Saccharomyces cerevisiae S288C: one gene and its partners. The gene in region 1 interacts genetically with each later gene. Each region holds a gene or a part of one and is shown on either strand. Other genes may lie near its edges. The genes, in order: STL1, SFL1, SGT2 and COX23.

The links.
Region 2: mutations in STL1 (region 1) and SFL1 together harm fitness more than expected from each alone (negative genetic interaction), as found in Saccharomyces cerevisiae (2 studies listed by BioGRID).
Region 3: mutations in STL1 (region 1) and SGT2 together harm fitness more than expected from each alone (negative genetic interaction), as found in Saccharomyces cerevisiae (2 studies listed by BioGRID).
Region 4: mutations in STL1 (region 1) and COX23 together harm fitness more than expected from each alone (negative genetic interaction), as found in Saccharomyces cerevisiae (2 studies listed by BioGRID).

What each region holds. Positions count from the first base shown.
Region 1 is NC_001136.10:1,506,297-1,511,677, forward strand, and holds STL1 (glucose-inactivated glycerol proton symporter STL1), read left to right. Parts: upstream 1-1,708; coding exon 1,709-3,418; downstream 3,419-5,381. Other genes in the region: phenylacrylic acid decarboxylase PAD1, read left to right, coding at 4,606-5,334.
Region 2 is NC_001147.6:582,976-589,826, reverse strand, and holds SFL1 (Sfl1p), read right to left. Parts: upstream 2,847-6,851; coding exon 546-2,846; downstream 1-545. Other genes in the region: RUP1 (Rup1p), read left to right, coding at 3,503-5,518; SIA1 (Sia1p), read left to right, coding at 6,146-6,851. UniProt on the Saccharomyces cerevisiae protein: Involved in cell surface assembly and regulation of the gene related to flocculation (asexual cell aggregation). Mutations in SFL1 causes constitutive cell aggregation.
Region 3 is NC_001147.6:337,589-342,227, reverse strand, and holds SGT2 (Sgt2p), read left to right. Parts: upstream 1-2,249; coding exon 2,250-3,290; downstream 3,291-4,639. Other genes in the region: SLG1 (Slg1p), read left to right, coding at 1-950; ribosome biogenesis protein TSR3, read left to right, coding at 3,607-4,548. UniProt on the Saccharomyces cerevisiae protein: Co-chaperone that binds to the molecular chaperone Hsp70 (SSA1 and SSA2). Regulates Hsp70 ATPase activity. Required for recovery from heat shock.
Region 4 is NC_001140.6:340,058-344,914, forward strand, and holds COX23 (Cox23p), read left to right. Parts: upstream 1-1,607; coding exon 1,608-2,063; downstream 2,064-4,857. Other genes in the region: ubiquitin-conjugating protein DMA1, read right to left, coding at 52-1,302; protein channel TOM71, read left to right, coding at 2,292-4,211; ORC6 (origin recognition complex subunit 6), read right to left, coding at 4,264-4,857. UniProt on the Saccharomyces cerevisiae protein: Required for the assembly of cytochrome c oxidase.

The DNA of each region.
Region 1 (5,381 bases):
TATTTCTGAGGCAACACCAAAGAAGGGTCCGAGAGTTCTTAGGCAGTAAAAAAGTTACACAGCCTCAGAAGACAGGGATCATGCAGTAAAAAAAAAAGCTCGATAATTTCATCGATCAATTGACCAGCCAATTTATTCTTATACCCTTATTTCTACCGATATAAACAGTTGGATAAACGGACAGGTTGAAGTGCAACGTTATTCAATGGTGACAGTTGCTTCTGGACTAAGAAAGGCTAGACCATGTGCCAGAAGTGCAGAAAAATGAAAGCAGAGAGCAAATAAAAAAACTCGACAAACATCGGAATATCAACCAGACAATAGCAAGTGGACACAATGAAATAAAAATCTCACAGGCAAAAACGCACTTAAGGTGACGTAGATGCGTCCATCATTTAAACACGATACCAACATTATCTGATGTTTCAATGTTGAAAACTGACATTCAAATATTCCGCAACCAGCGGACGAACTGAAGGAGCAGGCGACTACAATGCGCAGGGCGATTGGCGCGGTAACTTTGCCATGATCAAATATTTGTGTAGCGCTTTGTTCACTATCGAACTTTCTAAATGAGTTAAGGAAGAGAAGAAAAACAATATGATACCGCAAATACGTATTCTCACCTAAAATGGCAAGGCAAAGCTTCGCCGAGGAATTCAGCCCGAGAGTAGAAAATTTACTAATGTGGTCTCGCGTGTGAATCAGCAATGATTCTGAAATACTCCTTTTACAACCTTTGCAAAGATAATGTCTTTCAGTCTGATATTACGAGCGACCTAGAACCACTAATCCATATTCTTCATTCAACTTACTCCATTTTCCTTGGCAAACAATGCCCCACAATCATATACGTCATAACTATAAGGGATATGTCTGGAATGCGGCCAAGATAGAATTAAAGGGCTGCAGAACACCACTACTGATACTCATTGCCAAGGCTAGGAGGCACCATCCGTTTCATTTTCTTTGAGGTAAGCCAATCATGAAATAGTATACACATCCATAACGGACGTACGGACGAAATAAGTGCCGTTGTCCCACTATTCCACCGCATTTGGCCCATTTGGCTCACTTTGACTCAACTTGCGTCATTTTAACTGATATGAAGGGTCCGACTTTGTCCTTTTTCGGCCACCGCATACCCCACGGCGATGCCTCCGCTACCTGCATTTGAGTAGCATCTCCGTTTCGCGGGGTATTCGGCGCTACGTCGCCTGTTCGAGCGGCTCTGTTCGTTGCATGAAACTAAAATAAGCGGAAAGTGTCCAGCCATCCACTACGTCAGAAAGAAATAATGGTTGTACACTGTTTCTCGGCTATATACCGTTTTTGGTTGGTTAATCCTCGCCAGGTGCAGCTATTGCGCTTGGCTGCTTCGCGATAGTAGTAATCTGAGAAAGTGCAGATCCCGGTAAGGGAAACACTTTTGGTTCACCTTTGATAGGGCTTTCATTGGGGCATTCGTAACAAAAAGGAAGTAGATAGAGAAATTGAGAAAGCTTAAGTGAGATGTTTTAGCTTCAATTTTGTCCCCTTCAACGCTGCTTGGCCTTAGAGGGTCAGAATTGCAGTTCAGGAGTAGTCACACTCATAGTATATAAACAAGCCCTTTATTGATTTTGAATAATTATTTTGTATACGTGTTCTAGCATACAAGTTAGAATAAATAAAAAATAGAAAAATAGAACATAGAAAGTTTTAGACCATGAAGGATTTAAAATTATCGAATTTCAAAGGCAAATTTATAAGCAGAACCAGTCACTGGGGACTTACGGGTAAGAAGTTGCGGTATTTCATCACTATCGCATCTATGACGGGCTTCTCCCTGTTTGGATACGACCAAGGGTTGATGGCAAGTCTAATTACTGGTAAACAGTTCAACTATGAATTTCCAGCAACCAAAGAAAATGGCGATCATGACAGACACGCAACTGTAGTGCAGGGCGCTACAACCTCCTGTTATGAATTAGGTTGTTTCGCAGGTTCTCTATTCGTTATGTTCTGCGGTGAAAGAATTGGTAGAAAACCATTAATCCTGATGGGTTCCGTAATAACCATCATTGGTGCCGTTATTTCTACATGCGCATTTCGTGGTTACTGGGCATTAGGCCAGTTTATCATCGGAAGAGTCGTCACCGGTGTTGGAACAGGGTTGAATACATCTACTATTCCCGTTTGGCAATCAGAAATGTCAAAAGCTGAAAATAGAGGGTTGCTGGTCAATTTAGAAGGTTCCACAATTGCTTTTGGTACTATGATTGCTTATTGGATTGATTTTGGGTTGTCTTATACCAACAGTTCTGTTCAGTGGAGATTCCCCGTGTCAATGCAAATCGTTTTTGCTCTCTTCCTGCTTGCTTTCATGATTAAACTACCTGAATCGCCACGTTGGCTGATTTCTCAAAGTCGAACAGAAGAAGCTCGCTACTTGGTAGGAACACTAGACGACGCGGATCCAAATGATGAGGAAGTTATAACAGAAGTTGCTATGCTTCACGATGCTGTTAACAGGACCAAACACGAGAAACATTCACTGTCAAGTTTGTTCTCCAGAGGCAGGTCCCAAAATCTTCAGAGGGCTTTGATTGCAGCTTCAACGCAATTTTTCCAGCAATTTACTGGTTGTAACGCTGCCATATACTACTCTACTGTATTATTCAACAAAACAATTAAATTAGACTATAGATTATCAATGATCATAGGTGGGGTCTTCGCAACAATCTACGCCTTATCTACTATTGGTTCATTTTTTCTAATTGAAAAGCTAGGTAGACGTAAGCTGTTTTTATTAGGTGCCACAGGTCAAGCAGTTTCATTCACAATTACATTTGCATGCTTGGTCAAAGAAAATAAAGAAAACGCAAGAGGTGCTGCCGTCGGCTTATTTTTGTTCATTACATTCTTTGGTTTGTCTTTGCTATCATTACCATGGATATACCCACCAGAAATTGCATCAATGAAAGTTCGTGCATCAACAAACGCTTTCTCCACATGTACTAATTGGTTGTGTAACTTTGCGGTTGTCATGTTCACCCCAATATTTATTGGACAGTCCGGTTGGGGTTGCTACTTATTTTTTGCTGTTATGAATTATTTATACATTCCAGTTATCTTCTTTTTCTACCCTGAAACCGCCGGAAGAAGTTTGGAGGAAATCGACATCATCTTTGCTAAAGCATACGAGGATGGCACTCAACCATGGAGAGTTGCTAACCATTTGCCCAAGTTATCCCTACAAGAAGTCGAAGATCATGCCAATGCATTGGGCTCTTATGACGACGAAATGGAAAAAGAGGACTTTGGTGAAGATAGAGTAGAAGACACCTATAACCAAATTAACGGCGATAATTCGTCTAGTTCTTCAAACATCAAAAATGAAGATACAGTGAACGATAAAGCAAATTTTGAGGGTTGATTCACACACAACTCACAAATCATATTTTGTAATTTACTTAAGAAAGCATTTTGCGGGGTTTATATTTGTTCCTTGCCGCACCAATAATATTCATATATTACTACATAACTTTAGTATTTTAACACCAGACGATCTGTCTTTTGAGGAAATATGTCCACTTTCATTTTCTTCCGCTTGCCGGCAATGCCTATAAAAAGCTTATAAAATAGCCCGACTCCGTAGTCTTAATATTTATTTAAGTACAATAATAGTCCCACAAAAATTTTTAAAACATCTTTATTGATAACGTGGACGTGTTATTACATTGGAGCGAATGATGACGGAAGTAGGAAAATCTGAATACTAAGGTGAAGATATTTTAGCAGGGTGCCGCCATGGATGTTCTATGAATGTCTTCCTTCCTTTTCTCTCATGGGACACCGCAAAAACCTGTTCTACCATCATTTAACTGCAACATACAAAAAGCCACCAACTTTCGAACACTGCAAATGGTGCTATTCTCTTTTTGCGGTCTTGCCATGATATTCTTCTTGCAAAAAGGGTTTTAGAGCAAGATTTCAAATTAGCCATGAATATCATGCATCGCTTAGAGCAGTAAGATTTTACCAGAGCTTTACAGGACCTATTTTTCATACGTTATGCACTTCATTCTTCTTGTCGGTTTGATAACAGCAGAATCTAGTTCCTTTAATTTGAACGTTAGCCCGGCAGAAGCCATACCTCGAAAACGCAGCAGCGCTTCATAGGCATATCAAAAACAGGGCAAGGGACACCATACATCACCTAGTGCTGTTACTTATAACCAACTTGACAACGATTGCACAAGAAAAGAGTATATCTGTGAAGACAGCCAAAACGCTTAACATGTTATGACATAAATTGCAGACAAGAAATTGGATGTATTTTACAGACTTTGCATTCCTGTCTGAAAGCCTTTTTACATAAAAATGGTTTCATTAGTAGCACTTCGTATCGTTTTCAAATAATGATGAGATGCTCCAAAAGGAAAGTTGGCACAGAAAAAATGACGCGCCTTTCCTGTTTACCGTTAAACTTCTCAGAAAAAGTATACTCGACCCATTTTTAAGATTGGTGATGGATAGAATTTCATTTAACATAATGCTGCAAATATAGATTGATTTCAATCTACGGAGTCCAACGCATTGAGCAGCTTCAATTGAGTAGATATGCTCCTATTTCCAAGAAGAACTAATATAGCCTTTTTCAAAACAACAGGCATTTTTGCTAATTTTCCTTTGCTAGGTAGAACCATTACAACTTCACCATCTTTCCTTACACATAAACTGTCAAAGGAAGTAACCAGGGCATCAACTTCGCCTCCAAGACCAAAGAGAATTGTTGTCGCAATTACTGGTGCGACTGGTGTTGCACTGGGAATCAGACTTCTACAAGTGCTAAAAGAGTTGAGCGTAGAAACCCATTTGGTGATTTCAAAATGGGGTGCAGCAACAATGAAATATGAAACAGATTGGGAACCGCATGACGTGGCGGCCTTGGCAACCAAGACATACTCTGTTCGTGATGTTTCTGCATGCATTTCGTCCGGATCTTTCCAGCATGATGGTATGATTGTTGTGCCCTGTTCCATGAAATCACTAGCTGCTATTAGAATCGGTTTTACAGAGGATTTAATTACAAGAGCTGCCGATGTTTCGATTAAAGAGAATCGTAAGTTACTACTGGTTACTCGGGAAACCCCTTTATCTTCCATCCATCTTGAAAACATGTTGTCTTTATGCAGGGCAGGTGTTATAATTTTTCCTCCGGTACCTGCGTTTTATACAAGACCCAAGAGCCTTCATGACCTATTAGAACAAAGTGTTGGCAGGATCCTAGACTGCTTTGGCATCCACGCTGACACTTTTCCTCGTTGGGAAGGAATAAAAAGCAAGTAACACTTTTTCTGAGCATTTTATTACGTTACTCAACTACTAATAGAGTT
Region 2 (6,851 bases), on another chromosome or scaffold:
GAAATAGTCCCGCTTAGACGGCTATGATGGTAACATGCATGGTGCAACAACTACAGAATAGGAGCACAACTTGAAGGCGTCCATAAAGAATAAGGTGTCTTTTTGTGATGGTTGTTTAATAGCAAACATACATATATACTTATAGAATTATTGTACAGGAAGTTTATCGAAAGGTGCATTTTTCTGTTTATGAGACAATACCCCGTAGCTATTCTGTGATATACTAGAAAGAACGGGCGGTATTATGATACGAATTGAAGGGAGGTAGGGGAAAGGAAGGTGGAAATGAAAGTGGAAAATACAATTTAGTGTGATGAAAACTTAATAAAACAACTACCGGAGTTGGTAAAAATATAGTTATAATCACAAGGATCAGGAGGAAAAGAAAAAAAAGTGAATAAAATAAATAACAATGATTACCCGTTGGGATACCTAAAATGAAATGAAACAAAAGTAATTGAAACAAAAGTAATTGGAACAAAGGTAATAAACATACAGTGAGGTGCTTTGAACTTTTAGACAACTAGAGATTAAAAAGGCAAAGATCACATCTTAACCTTTTTGAGTGCCGGAGCGGCCTTATCTTCAGTTTTAGGATCAGCACTGGACGTGCTGCTATCCTCTTGATTCAGTAAAGAATAAACACCGCTCCCTTTTCTCTTACTATTGTCAGCCTCGCCAGTATTCTTAGTGGTGCTCGTTGTGGGCAAAGATGGCTGCGGTAGTTCTATTTGTGGTGCAGGTTCTGCTTGTGATAGGCTTGAGCTGTGCTCGACGTTCATGGGGGAGTTTATTAAATTTGAAGAAACAGCAGGAAGATTGTCCATGTTTTTTGGAGGAGGGCCCGTCAAGACAGACGAGTCTAATGGAGTTACCGAATCTGGAGCACAATTAGCAGCTTTGTTTAATGAGCGAAGCAATCCCTGCTGAGAGTACCGAATTGGGGCTGGATTGTTGGCAACTAGTGTAAAAGAGGAGGATAAAGACGTGCCCGAAATACTGGATTTGAGAGAGTTTCTAGGTTTGGGATACAGACTATCTTCATTCAACGATGATCTCGGTGTCAGCTTCAGAGGACTGTTTCTTCTATCGTTGGGCAAAGAGCTTGTAGACCCGAGACTTCTCATTTTTGGTTGAGAATACAATCTCGTTGTTGGTTCATTAATAGGATATATTGGACTCGGAGCCATATTTTGAGGGACAGGCTTGTTGTAGTCACGGACAGAAGGATTAATATTCATGATAGGATAGTTTAGTGGACCCTGAACTCCAACACTCGCTGCGGGAGTCAGCGGGTCCATGAGAACACTATTGGTCCTCTTCGTGTTGCCCGGTTTGTTGTTATTTTTCGAGGCAAAAGGATTGTGCATCATTTGTGGAGTGCTAAAAGTGTCTGCATATTGTGGAGGTAGTTGTTGGATGGGTATCGGCTGATTGATAAAGTTTGGTACATGTGCCGGTTGCTTCGCATAAGTCACATGTTGTTGCGACTGCGGTTGGTATTGTACAAAAAGTTGCGAGGGCGGCACTGAAGCCGTGTTGAATCTCGAAGGGATGTTCGTGGTCGAGGAAGATTTCTGCGGGACATACTGGTTCCCTGGAGGAACCATCATCTCATACTGAGATTTGGGTGCATATGCAGATGTGGATGTGGGCGCGGGTGCAGGGGCGACAGAGGCAGCGGTAGCGGCAGCATTTACAGCACAAAGAGAATCTATTGTACGGTGGGCCCTCGACATGACGTGCTGTTTGAAAGTTAACATATCGCTTTCGAATGCCTGAAGTTGCTTTTGGTGATCCTTCACGATATTTTCCGATTTTTTCTTGCTCACATTCTTGAAGGTGAAACTCTGTGAACAAAAACTGTGTTGCAAAGATATGAAATGCTGCATAGACTCTATAATCTTAACCATATCAAAATTTATTTCTTTCAAATGTTTCAGTGTTTCATCTTGAAAGTTCGGAGGTCTGTTTTGCTCTTGCATTTCCGGGTTATTGGATTCCAGCGGGGCATGGTTTGCGTTTTCGTAAGTTACATGAGAGTTATTAAAGTACTCGGGGATAGAGTTATTGGCGCCCGGAATTTGCGGAACGAAATTACCAAAGGAATTGGAACTGGTGGACGGGTCTTGAATCGAAGAGGGTCTTACTCTTGCACCGGAATCTATATCGTAGTTTTGATTACTAGAATTCTTTCGACTGTTAATTGAGGAGTTATTACGGGAAGAAGCTCTTCTCTTAATGTGTTTGAGTCCCTCAATGTCACCTTTCTTGAAAATACCAGAACTATGCTTAAATTCCCAGATTTTAGTGGGGTTACTTTTCTCCTTTTCTTGGACACCGCCACCGGTATTTTCGTCGCCACTACTGTTTTTGTTGCCACTATTATCATCGTGAGTATTGCTGTCATCATTAGTATTGGCGTCGTCGCCACTATTAGCGTCGTTGCTGCTATGATCATGCGACACCTTGTGAAAGCCGTAAATGTTCAACTGTCTTACAAAGCTCGTGATATTAGTATGCTTGAAATATGTAGCCAAAGCCTTACTAAACCGTTCCACAGGCTTAATCATGAAGGATAAGCCCGAAGGGGTCCACCATATCAAGTCGTGTAGCGATTCGTCCTCCAGAATCTGGTATAGCTTATGGATGAATATCGCATTTTGTGGCGGCCTGGGCCCCACTAGCATCTTCGACCCATGTTTCTTAACATCCTCGGCACCGTCGCCGCCTTCAGCACCAGCATTAGCTATTCCAGCTGCTGCTCCACCACTACCTACATCGGTTCCAGCCGGGGCCGGTGTAGAAGCTGGAGCTGGGGCTGAGACCGTTTCCTCTTCACTCATGATTTTTTCTTCTTTTTTTCTATATAACTGATTTGTGCTGTCTTAGGACCCTCTGAATGTACCAAATAGTGTCGAATTACAATATTCTTTGTTATGTATATAGAGCTGAGTGCTTTGTGTGCGTATGCGTATGTGTGTGTGTGTGAATTTTTTCCTTGAACCTGTCACTGTGGCGATGAAGGTTCACTATGTTCTTTTTTCCCTGCTTTTCAAACTATCTTTGAAACTTTCCACTTCACACCAGTACGACTTCTTTGAAAAATTCGTAAGTCGAATAAATAATATTATTTCGCCGTGCGTTTGTGTTTCTGTTTCAACAACCCTTTGTGTGCACCTGTATAGAGTGTTTAAAAAGAGATCCTTCTTGCTAGCTGAAAAAGTTTATGTCGAATAAAAACGTCTTTTCATGTACTGAACATCTGTTTTTCCGGCGGAGATGCAGCGATGGATGCGCTTGCTGCCAAGGCATCTGTGCCGGGCGGGTGATGTCCGGGCGACCCGGCACGGAAGTAAAAGATACTATTGTTGAAAGGTACTTCTCACTACAAGGCTTAAGGACCTGTCGGAGTAGAGGAAAGAAGAGAAGAAGCCGGAAAAGGAGAGTCGTCACCTGTAAAAGGAATCTTAAGTAATTGATTTTTGTTAAGTAAGCTACGATGATGGATAATCAGGCTGTAAAGTCACTGCTAGAAATGGGTATTCCACACGAAGTAGCTGTGGACGCCCTCCAAAGAACTGGCGGTAATTTGGAGGCAGCAGTTAACTTCATCTTTTCGAACGAGCTGCCGGAGCAAGCGGAAATGGGTGAGGAGAATGATGGCAGTCAGCCTAGGATTTCTGAGAACAAAATAGTGGCTGGAACCAAGCCCTGCGATGTTCCGAACAACGGGGACCAAGACATTGATATGCCGGATGTGAGTGGTGTCGATGTTGATTATGATGACGATGAAGACATCACGGATGAACGCAGCGGTTCTAATAGCACCAGCGGATGCAGGGTTACTGCTCAGAACTACGATCGTTATTCTATATCGGAGACATCCATTCCTCCCCCCTCTTATAGTATAGTACAACACAACGAGTTCAAGTCGAACGTGGGCGATCCTACGGTTGTGTTGCCGCTACCCTTGAATAGTCTAATTGAGAGCTATTTTGGGCTGTTTGCGTTGCTCACGGCCGTGTATTTCCCACACGTGTTCTTGAAACCGGACTTTAAGGATTTGAACTATAGGGCAGACTGGTTCAAGGGCTCATCGTTTACGGAGCCCAAATACAGACTTGCATATTGCGAGGCAGAAGATGGTTCCACTACGTCGGAGATCGTGCTGGCCAGCGGACCTAATGAAGGGTTGCAACCGCATCTGCTCTGGCAGTTGCAAAAACTCATCTCCGTGGTTAACACGCGAAAGTGTGAAAGAGCCTTTGTTTCGGCCAAGGTGTTTACGTCGTCCTTGGAACCGCAATTGAGGTCCAAGCTGGCCGATTCCGAGCATCTTTATGAGGTGCTCCCAGCGTTTATCAAATCATTGGCAGTGGATTTGGAAATGTGTCCTGGGATCAGAGACCGGGAAACAAGAAGTCTCTTTATATCTTCTGCTTTGCATACTCCGAACAAGAATGAACCTCCAATGGAGACGTTTTTGTCCTTGTTTCATTTTCTTCCTGAAGAGTACGATTCTAATCTATATAAAATGTTCAACGTTTTATTGTACCCCGAAGAAGAGGAAGAAGAAGAAGACGTGATTCGTGGTGGCGAGCAAGAAGAGGCGAGATATGTGGAACCGGAGAATACTTTGAAGGAGGTGGCACCCGTATTAACAATCCTGTTCAATGAACTAGAAACAAATACAGAATCAGTGTCTCTACCCAATGGCGTGGATATACCGCTTGAGTTTTACCCACAGCTTTACACCAAACAGTGCAAAGACCAACTAATAAGACATATTATTTCTAAACGAAAGCAAGCGCGGACCAGATCCAGATGCTTGCTTCAAGAGATCAACGAGTTAAAGAGTTACCAAGGCAAAAACATATCCACTATTCTAGAGTCGACGCTGGCGTATCTACAAACAATTCCTGACGATGCTAATAATGAAGCAGCAAAGCAGATCGCATCGTTGAAAGATACATTAAATTCTGCGAGAGCCGCTAAAATGGAGGAATATAAGGACTTGGCGTCCAAACTGCATGGAGAATGGAACCTTTCACATCCAGAGACACACATAATCAACACTGCAAAGCAATTGGGACTGATCGAAAATCCCTACATCCTCACAATGGCAGCACTATCGCCATATTCATACTTTATCAGAAGCAGAAACGGTGCATGGTCATGGATACAAAGTAATACGTTGGGAACAGAATTCAAGGTGAAAAAATGTTCGTCGCCTTCTGTCGTTCAAGAAGCCATCAAGCATGGCACGAAGTACGCAAGTGAAACTCCGCTGATGTTCATATACTGTGAAGAGGGTAAAATTCCCACGGAAGAAGTAGTCGCGGAAGCGTTGAAAAGCAATAGCGGGTGCTTAAAATTTGCTGAGGATGACCAAAATTCATTAAAAACATTGCGTTCGCAATTTTTCGATGGTATGGGAGATCCTGAACAAGCCACCAACAATATTAACAATGGTAACGATAATGACAATGACGATGACATCGATTCTGATAATTAGATAGATTTCTATACACTTTCCGCCAGATAAATAACGTATGTCTCTTTAAACTATGATCTCATTTTCTCTAGTAATTTTGAACCGCATATATGTTACTAGTTTACGTTTTCAATACTATAGAAACTCCGCTTGGAGGCTAACTGCGCCCGCAATCCGAAAACTTCTATTTACGGACATAAATTAGACTCTAAGGATCAAACAAAAATAAAAAGGTTGACAGATAAAGGACAGTTTTAATTTTTATACTTTTGATCTGAAATAATGCCAAGTCCTAAACTTATTATAATATAGCCTCGAACACAAGATCATTGAGTTGCTTTTTCTAACTTCTCCTTTCTTTATTTTACTTTAGCCGCAACAATACCCCTTCTATTTTAATTCTGACTTCAATTCATTTCAACTTTACGACCTTTTTTTTCAATTTCGGTTCTGCAGTACTCTTCATTTGTCGATTAATTCGAGGTTTTCATTATTTCTTGAAATTTCTTTCAAGTTGCTTTAGTTTCATTTCCAAAAGAGATTTAAATAACTTACCTTTTTCTCATTCCTTTCGATTATTTTACTTTCCAACAATTAGCTCTTATCACATTCATTGACCTTCGCAAACAATACCCTTCAAATATTTGCATGAGATTACATTATAGAAGAAGATTTAATTTTTTAAGGAGAATACTTTTTATATTATGCATTACTTCATTGTATTTATCGAGAGATTCACTAAAGCTACATGCAAAAAATGTATTAATGGATCATAATGTAGCAGAATATCATGGCGGAATGATAGACGATATTCAAATCCTGCGGTGCTACCATTGGTACAGGCAATGTAGTTCTTTGTATGCCCCGAAATTACACCCCTCCAATACTGCTAAAAAGATCAAAGACAAAAACAGCATTCTGTGGACCAGAGTTTCTAAGAATATTACTGTAGAGACATTGTATTCACTTCAGTCTGGACCATTCTACAACAGTTACTTATATGTTCATCTGAAAGATTTCCAAAGTAATCCAAAAAACACAATAAAAGAACTAGCCATAGCAAGGGACTCAGCACTAATACCCCTACAAGTGCTGAGAGACATTAATAAGTTGGTGAAATCGAGCGACAGTTCTGTCTTTCACAATCATGTGTATCTACGAGAAAAGCCTACTTCGTCATGGTGGAAGCTGCTTTTCGGCATATCCGTTGATACAGATAACATAGCTGTGTTCGGTGAGGAGTGGGTATACAAGGGGAGCGGCATATGGTGTAAGTATATCCTTAATGATGATGATAATGACGCTCCTATAACTAATTTGGAAATATATCTAGGATCATCGTTTATTGAATCGA
Region 3 (4,639 bases), on another chromosome or scaffold:
TTTATAATCATTCAGAATGTTATTGTGGTGATACTAATCCATCTGGTTCGGAATCTACTTCCTCTTCATGTAATACGTATTGCTTTGGTTACAGCAGTGAGATGTGTGGTGGTGAAGATGCCTATTCTGTGTACCAACTTGACTCTGACACAAATAGCAATAGCATAAGCAGCTCAGATTCAAGTACGGAGTCTACTTCTGCGTCGTCTTCCACAACTTCTTCAACAACGTCCTCCACAACATCAACTACATCATCGACTACATCATCAACTACATCATCAATGGCGTCTTCCTCTACAGTACAGAATTCCCCCGAGTCAACTCAAGCAGCTGCCTCTATTTCAACGTCACAGAGTTCGAGCACTGTAACGTCAGAAAGCTCGCTAACTTCGGATACTTTGGCAACGAGCAGTACTAGCTCTCAATCACAGGACGCCACTTCGATAATCTATTCCACTACTTTTCACACTGAGGGCGGTTCCACAATTTTTGTCACGAACACCATCACGGCAAGTGCACAGAATTCAGGATCGGCCACAGGTACAGCTGGATCTGACTCTACGAGTGGAAGTAAAACTCATAAAAAGAAAGCCAATGTAGGGGCAATTGTAGGCGGCGTTGTAGGTGGTGTAGTGGGAGCCGTAGCCATTGCTCTTTGTATCTTGTTGATTGTCAGACACATTAATATGAAGCGGGAACAAGACAGGATGGAAAAGGAATACCAAGAGGCGATAAAACCAGTTGAGTACCCTGATAAACTATACGCCTCTTCATTTTCATCTAATCACGGGCCCTCTTCAGGTAGCTTCGAGGAGGAGCACACCAAAGGGCAAACTGATATTAACCCTTTCGACGACTCAAGGAGAATAAGTAACGGAACATTCATAAATGGCGGACCAGGAGGGAAAAACAACGTTTTAACAGTGGTCAATCCAGACGAAGCTGATTGAAGAAACCCAAAAAAAATTATTATATTCTTAAACTATTGCCAAGCAAGTCTTGTTCCTTCCCATTAATTTTTTCTTTTTCCGATTTCATTTTGCCAAATCATCTCCATTTTCACATTATGATGATCCTCTAAAAATTCATACATTTCGAATTTGAGAGCTGGAGAGCTGGAAGTAACGAGGAACATTAAATAGGAACAACAAAATTAGATTAGTTATTTTTTTTTCTACTCATTAATTTTTTTATGATATATTTGAATACCAACCTTAACTTAGTTACATAGATTTAACAAACATTAAACATGTTAATTCTTTGAAATGAATACCACCTAATAAAACTATACATTTTCAAAATAACAAATTGTTATGAAACTAATAGCTAATTATCTTCTAGTGACAATAACCACTTTACTAGAAATTATTAAAAAAATACCGCGTTGAAAGACGATATAAAGTAGGAGATTAATAAATTTATATTCATATTTTCTTCAATCTAATGAAATTGAAGCGCAAGGATTGATTATGTGATAGGATGCGTGAGTAGTAATGCATGAAAAAGGAGGAAGACGTGATTATAATATATGATGTAAAATTTTGATTCCATTTTGCGGATTCCTGTATCCTCGAGGAAAGACCTCTGGCATATTATATAGGGATATTATTCCTTTACAAAAAATGGAATGAAAGAATCAAAACAAAATTGTCATGTTTGCACAATTGCGTATACCATTGCATATAATTATGTCGAAAATCATCAATATGTATGGGAATGATCATTCCATTTTTTTCACACTGGCATAATAATTTGAATATAATAATAATGGATGATGGGCATTATTGGGAAATAAAACTATGAAATTTGCTTTTAGTACGTGTATCGATAAATATCTCTAATTTTCTCAAGATCTGTTCCTCGTGGCCCAATGGTCACGGCGTCTGGCTACGAACCAGAAGATTCCAGGTTCAAGTCCTGGCGGGGAAGATTTTTTTTAACATTGAATAGAAATTACAAAGGTCTTTTATGCTATTTTAAAGGGCTATAGGCGGCATAATATTTGCTTTTAACCTTATTGTCATGACATTCTAATCACAACACTTAGCCCTTCTTTTGTATTTTTCCAAACTTTTTCAAGTCTTAAAATTTTCCCAATCGAAAAAAATGGAAGATCCGAGAAGGTTTTATTGCCCTACGCTTAATCCCAAATTTTGCCACCATATAAAATGAGTACGAGCGATATAATCGGACAACTGAATAGAAGCTTCTGACCAAGTGATATCTTATTAATACAAATCTACTGTACGATGTCAGCATCAAAAGAAGAAATTGCTGCCCTTATTGTAAACTACTTTTCTTCCATTGTGGAAAAGAAAGAAATTTCAGAAGATGGCGCCGATTCTTTAAATGTTGCTATGGACTGTATCTCTGAAGCCTTTGGCTTTGAAAGAGAAGCTGTTTCAGGCATTTTAGGCAAGTCTGAATTCAAGGGTCAACATCTTGCTGATATATTAAATTCTGCGTCAAGAGTTCCAGAATCGAATAAGAAAGACGATGCTGAGAATGTCGAGATTAATATTCCAGAAGATGATGCGGAAACTAAAGCCAAAGCTGAGGACTTGAAAATGCAAGGTAATAAAGCAATGGCCAACAAGGATTACGAACTGGCAATCAATAAATATACTGAAGCCATTAAAGTTTTACCAACGAATGCTATTTATTACGCCAATAGAGCGGCTGCTCATTCATCCCTGAAAGAATATGATCAAGCGGTCAAAGACGCTGAATCTGCAATTTCTATTGACCCATCTTATTTCAGAGGCTACTCTAGATTGGGTTTTGCTAAATATGCGCAAGGTAAACCCGAAGAAGCCCTTGAAGCATACAAAAAGGTTCTTGATATAGAGGGCGATAATGCAACAGAAGCTATGAAAAGGGATTATGAAAGTGCCAAGAAGAAGGTTGAGCAATCTTTGAATCTGGAGAAAACCGTTCCAGAACAGTCAAGGGATGCTGATGTCGATGCAAGTCAGGGTGCTAGTGCGGGTGGATTGCCAGATCTTGGTTCTTTATTAGGAGGTGGTCTTGGAGGTTTAATGAACAACCCACAATTGATGCAGGCTGCGCAAAAAATGATGAGCAATCCAGGTGCAATGCAGAATATTCAAAAAATGATGCAAGATCCAAGTATCAGACAGATGGCTGAAGGCTTTGCTTCAGGCGGAGGAACTCCAAATTTGTCTGACTTGATGAATAACCCAGCACTCAGAAACATGGCAGGCAATCTTTTTGGTGGAGCAGGTGCCCAATCTACAGATGAAACACCAGACAATGAGAACAAGCAATAGTGGACTGAAATAAGCCTTTAATGCAATACATGTTATGTAGATACAAATATAGCTCTATCTAGGATGAGTGTTACCAGGAATTTTATTTTTACTTTGAGATCACTTGCGAAATACTTAAATAGGGACTGTAGTTTACTTTTTCTTTTTTTCAGGTAAATTCGTCGATTTTCGGAGAAGACTAGAAAATATAATGTGATGAGAAACTACATAAAAAAATTTTTACTAGTAAATGTCTATTTGAAATACTTTATCGAAAAGCTTTTTATGTAAATCTGTATAGAACTTCTCGCGTAAGACAGTTGAGTAAGCAGTAACAATGGGAAAAGGTAAAAATAAGATGCACGAACCCAAAAATGGAAGACCACAGAGAGGCGCTAATGGGCACAGTTCCAGGCAAAACCATAGGCGCATGGAAATGAAGTACGATAATTCAGAAAAAATGAAGTTTCCTGTTAAACTGGCTATGTGGGATTTTGATCATTGCGATCCAAAGAGATGCAGTGGTAAAAAACTTGAAAGGTTGGGCTTAATTAAATCATTGAGAGTTGGACAGAAATTTCAAGGTATTGTCGTTTCGCCAAACGGCAAAGGTGTTGTTTGCCCTGATGATCTAGAAATTGTCGAACAACACGGCGCTTCGGTGGTCGAGTGTTCTTGGGCACGTTTAGAAGAGGTACCCTTCAATAAAATAGGCGGTAAGCACGAAAGGCTGCTGCCGTATTTAGTGGCCGCTAATCAAGTAAATTACGGGAGACCATGGAGGCTCAATTGCGTTGAGGCATTAGCGGCTTGTTTTGCTATCGTCGGGAGAATGGATTGGGCCAGTGAATTGTTATCACACTTCTCGTGGGGAATGGGATTTTTAGAATTAAACAAAGAATTGCTTGAAATCTATCAGCAGTGCACTGACTGCGACTCTGTAAAGAGGGCTGAAGAGGAATGGTTGCAAAAATTAGAAAAGGAAACTCAAGAACGAAAATCCCGAGCTAAAGAAGAAGATATATGGATGATGGGTAACATAAATAGAAGGGGTAATGGTTCGCAATCTGACACATCAGAGAGTGAGGAAAACTCAGAACAATCTGATTTGGAAGGCAATAATCAATGTATTGAATATGACTCTTTAGGTAATGCTATTCGTATAGATAACATGAAAAGCAGGGAAGCGCAATCTGAGGAATCAGAAGACGAGGAAAGTGGTTCAAAAGAAAATGGAGAGCCTTTAAGTTATGACCCCTTAGGCAATTTAATTCGATAGGTGATTAAATAGGCTGAAATCAGTGTTTAGTAACTACGTACGTTGTACATGTAACATTGTGATATAAATCGTAAGATTCGCCGAGTATAGA
Region 4 (4,857 bases), on another chromosome or scaffold:
TTATATATATATATATATATATATATATATATAGCACAAAATTTCATGTGATCAATCTACTAGGCGAACACCTAAATTGTTATTTATTTCCATGTCTATATCCATTTCAATGTCTGGCTCATCTTCGTCCTCGTTTTCGAATTCGGATTCAGATTCGGATTCCAAGGTAGTCTCCAAATCACAGTTTGTCCTACAGTTCGGACACATGAATTGAGGATAATTCATAATAACCAATCTTCTTACACAATGAAAATGCCAACTATGGGCACATGGTGATATAAAAATGGCTTGGCAAGGTTTTATTTTGTTTAGACAAATGGAACAGTCTTCTTGTTCTAAACCAGTAGTTAGTTTCTGTAGATTTTTTATTCGGCTCAAGGCTTCTTTATTAAATGCATTGGCCTTTAATTTCCAAGACTTGTTCAATTCTATTTTCATCTTAACACAACGATATATCTCTTCCGTCCCGCCGCGAAAGTCCATACCCAGCTGTATGATATCTCCGTCATGTAAAAGGTAGTCCTTAGAAGTGGTAGACGCAGAAGATAGACGCTGGTGGTTCAAAAAGGTCCCACTGGAAGACTTGACATCTTTCAAAAACCAGTTTCCTTGGTCATCAACTTTGAAACACCCATGGGTCCTGGATATCACTTTTGATTTGAACACTACGGGATGATACTGATCTGGAATTTTGGAAATTGCCTCTCTTACTCTTTCGGTGTATCTTCCGATGATAATTTGCGAGCCTGCGCCCGCAGTCCTGATAATGGGGTCAAAGAAAAGACCCTGGTTAGCCACAGACGTGGATGAAGTATCTATAAACGGGGTTAGCCTAATGCTGAAAAGCCCGTGCTTGTCCATTCTGCGTTTCAAAGTAGATTGGTCTATCCGTTCCGGTAGCGAGGTATTTGGTGGGAGATGTATATCAAGTGAAAACTCCGTCTGATTGACTTGGTTTGGAGGATATATGAAATGGCGGATACTCTTTGTAGTGTTCACCGCGGGGGCTGTATTCGTCTCCACAGTGGCAGCAGCAGCAGCAGTAGCACCAACATTGCCGTTTGCGCTACCGTTATTTGCAACGACTAAAGAAGTAGCCGTACGCGAGGGCAAAATACCTAAACCATTGCTAACGCTATTATTATTGCTGTTATTGTTAGGCGTATCGTTAATGGTGAGAGAGATGGATATCGGTAGTCTGATGGGATTGTTGAACTTGGTGTGATCGTGAGAGGTAGCGATGCCAGAAGCAGCAGGTGGCGTCTGGTTTGGGGGAGATGAGGGAACAGTATTAGTAGACATCCAGGAATAACCACTATACAGAACGTATGTGCACAGGAAATCGACACTGTAAGAAGAAAAGCTCACGGCACAAGAGTCAGAAACAGGGCAGTGAACAAAGAACGAGAAGTACGGTTTACAGTTGAGCCGTACACCGAGTTCCTCTTTGAATAATATCGAACCTATACACTAATGCACTAATGTGTTTCTGTTCACACCCAGAATTCTAAGGCTCCTGCTGATCCCAATGCTAAGGTTTATCAATTTTCTCATTCTCTTTGTGGGCCGTAAACAGTGATATTCTCTCACGAGAGCGCTTAAAGAGAATGGAGAAGCCCAGCCCCACCAGGCGGCAAACTAGTAGTCTCTCCACTATCTCCAACGGTATGACCATGACCAACGATAATAGGGATACCACAAATACCAACAGTGGCTCTACAAGCAGCAACAATTCACAACCATCTTCGTCTTCCACGCCACCAGCGGCCAGTGGACCCGTAACGGACAGAACCAAAGTCAACTATGTACCAAAGAGCGACGATCCGTCGTCATTTCAATACTACCCAGACGACCCGGAGAACCCGGTCAATAAGTATAAATTCGCGTTAAAGGCTGACAGTCAGTACTATGATCCTTGTGAGGAGTCCTCCAAGCTCAGTTTTCAGTGCCTCGAGCGCAACGATTACGACCGATCCAAGTGCCAAGAATATTTTGACGCATACCGCGAATGCAAGAAACAATGGCTGACAGCCAGGAGGAAAAACAGACAGCAGTGGGAATGAGGCAGCCTTTTCTTCTTGTTTGTTCAGCTGTGATCTGTTTTCTATATAGATCGCCACTACGCGACGTAGTGTTCCGACAGGCAGCCACAGCACACTCTAGTGCAATGTGAAAAACTAATTCGCAATGGTATGTAAATAAGCAAGCTAAATTGGATTTTCAAAGTGCGAATAAAGAATTTTTTGTATATATCTCTACATACTTGTATATACCGAACATAAGAAGCTCTTATGGCCGAAAACTCCCTCCTGAGGTTTATCACCAAGAACAAAGTGGCCATCCTAGCAACGGTCTCTGCGGGGACTGCTGCTGTGGGTGCTTATGTTTACTACCAGCAAATTAAGCAGCAGCAACAGCAGCAATTGAAGGGTACAAAAGACAACCGACGTCAAAGTGAGGCCTTTGCTGGTCAAAATGAAGACGAGGCGGACTTAAAGGACGACGGCAGCGTCGTAAGTGGAAGTAATAAGAGGAAGAAGAAGAAGAATAAACGCAAGAGGAACAATAAGGCAAAATCGGGAGAAGGGTTTGACTATCCCTCCTTGCCCAATGGCGAGCCTGATATTGCCCAATTGAAAGGCCTATCACCCTCCCAGAGACAAGCGTATGCCGTGCAACTGAAGAACAGAGGTAACCACTTCTTCACTGCTAAGAATTTTAATGAGGCCATCAAATACTACCAGTATGCCATTGAGCTGGACCCGAATGAACCAGTGTTCTATTCCAACATATCTGCTTGTTACATTTCTACGGGCGACTTAGAGAAGGTTATAGAGTTCACTACAAAGGCACTTGAGATAAAACCTGACCATTCTAAAGCCTTGCTGAGACGTGCATCTGCCAACGAGTCACTGGGCAACTTCACTGATGCTATGTTTGATCTATCTGTTTTGTCATTGAATGGTGACTTTGATGGAGCCTCCATTGAACCTATGCTGGAAAGAAATTTAAATAAGCAAGCAATGAAAGTACTAAATGAAAACCTATCGAAGGATGAAGGCAGAGGCTCGCAGGTTTTGCCGTCTAACACATCTCTGGCGTCATTTTTTGGGATTTTTGACTCTCACTTAGAAGTTTCTAGTGTGAACACCAGTTCAAACTACGATACTGCATACGCTCTATTGTCAGATGCTTTGCAAAGACTATATTCTGCAACAGATGAAGGTTACTTAGTAGCAAACGATCTTTTAACAAAGTCCACTGACATGTACCACTCTCTACTTTCTGCAAATACAGTGGACGATCCTTTAAGAGAGAATGCTGCCTTGGCATTGTGCTACACGGGTATTTTCCATTTCTTAAAAAATAACCTGTTAGATGCCCAAGTTCTTTTACAAGAATCTATAAACCTGCATCCAACACCAAATTCGTACATATTTTTGGCATTGACCTTGGCCGATAAAGAAAACTCTCAAGAATTTTTCAAATTTTTCCAAAAAGCTGTTGATCTAAACCCTGAGTATCCGCCAACCTATTACCACCGTGGGCAGATGTATTTTATTCTACAAGATTATAAAAATGCCAAGGAAGATTTCCAAAAGGCCCAAAGCTTGAACCCTGAAAATGTTTATCCCTACATTCAATTAGCCTGTTTGTTGTACAAGCAAGGTAAATTTACCGAATCTGAAGCTTTTTTCAATGAAACAAAGTTGAAGTTTCCTACCTTACCTGAGGTGCCCACCTTTTTCGCTGAAATCTTGACAGATAGGGGCGATTTTGATACTGCAATTAAACAATATGATATTGCTAAAAGGTTGGAAGAAGTGCAAGAAAAAATACATGTGGGTATAGGACCCTTGATTGGGAAAGCAACTATATTAGCTAGACAATCCTCTCAAGATCCAACCCAGTTGGATGAAGAGAAATTCAACGCAGCCATTAAGCTGCTGACAAAAGCCTGTGAATTAGATCCACGATCTGAACAAGCGAAGATCGGGTTAGCACAACTAAAATTACAAATGGAAAAAATTGACGAGGCCATAGAATTGTTTGAAGATTCTGCAATTTTAGCAAGAACTATGGATGAAAAACTTCAAGCTACTACCTTCGCGGAAGCTGCAAAGATACAAAAGCGTTTGAGGGCTGATCCAATCATAAGTGCAAAGATGGAGCTAACATTAGCTCGTTATAGGGCTAAAGGCATGCTTTAGAAGATATGTCAGGTATTGGTCAAATATATACTTTTAGTTAATACTGGATATGTTATAAAGGTTCTGTTAATGCCAAATCCATTTCAATTCTTTTCTTCCAAATATTGTACTGGTCGTCTGTGACCAAAATATTGGTGGTTTGTAACATCGATCCCAGTTTCCTAAATATAATTTCATCGTATCTGATGCCATCAAAATCATCATACCTAATTTGCAAATCTCTGAACCATTTTTCACCGATAATTAATTCCTTCACTAATTTTACACATTCAATAACATCATCCACTTTTGACGTCAACATCAAGCTGCACATCTTACTGACTATAAAATGGTCAATTCTTGGATCCTTGCGTCTTCTTTCATTAAATACAATGAATGTACAATTTAATACTAACCCACACACTAATTGCCATGGGCAAACCAATCTTGACGCGTTTATGTTGTACTCATCCACAATTTTATATGCTACTTCTCTTGGTAATTCAAAATCGTTGCAAAGCCGTATTATTTCTTCAGTAGTCATTTTGCAATACTTCTTTACTAACAAAGAATTTGGTATTCTGCCCCTTTTCCTCAGGGCTTTTGCCGTCTTCAATTCTGATTGCGGTTTTCCAACTGCCTTATTTTGTTTCGTTCTCCCGCTTCT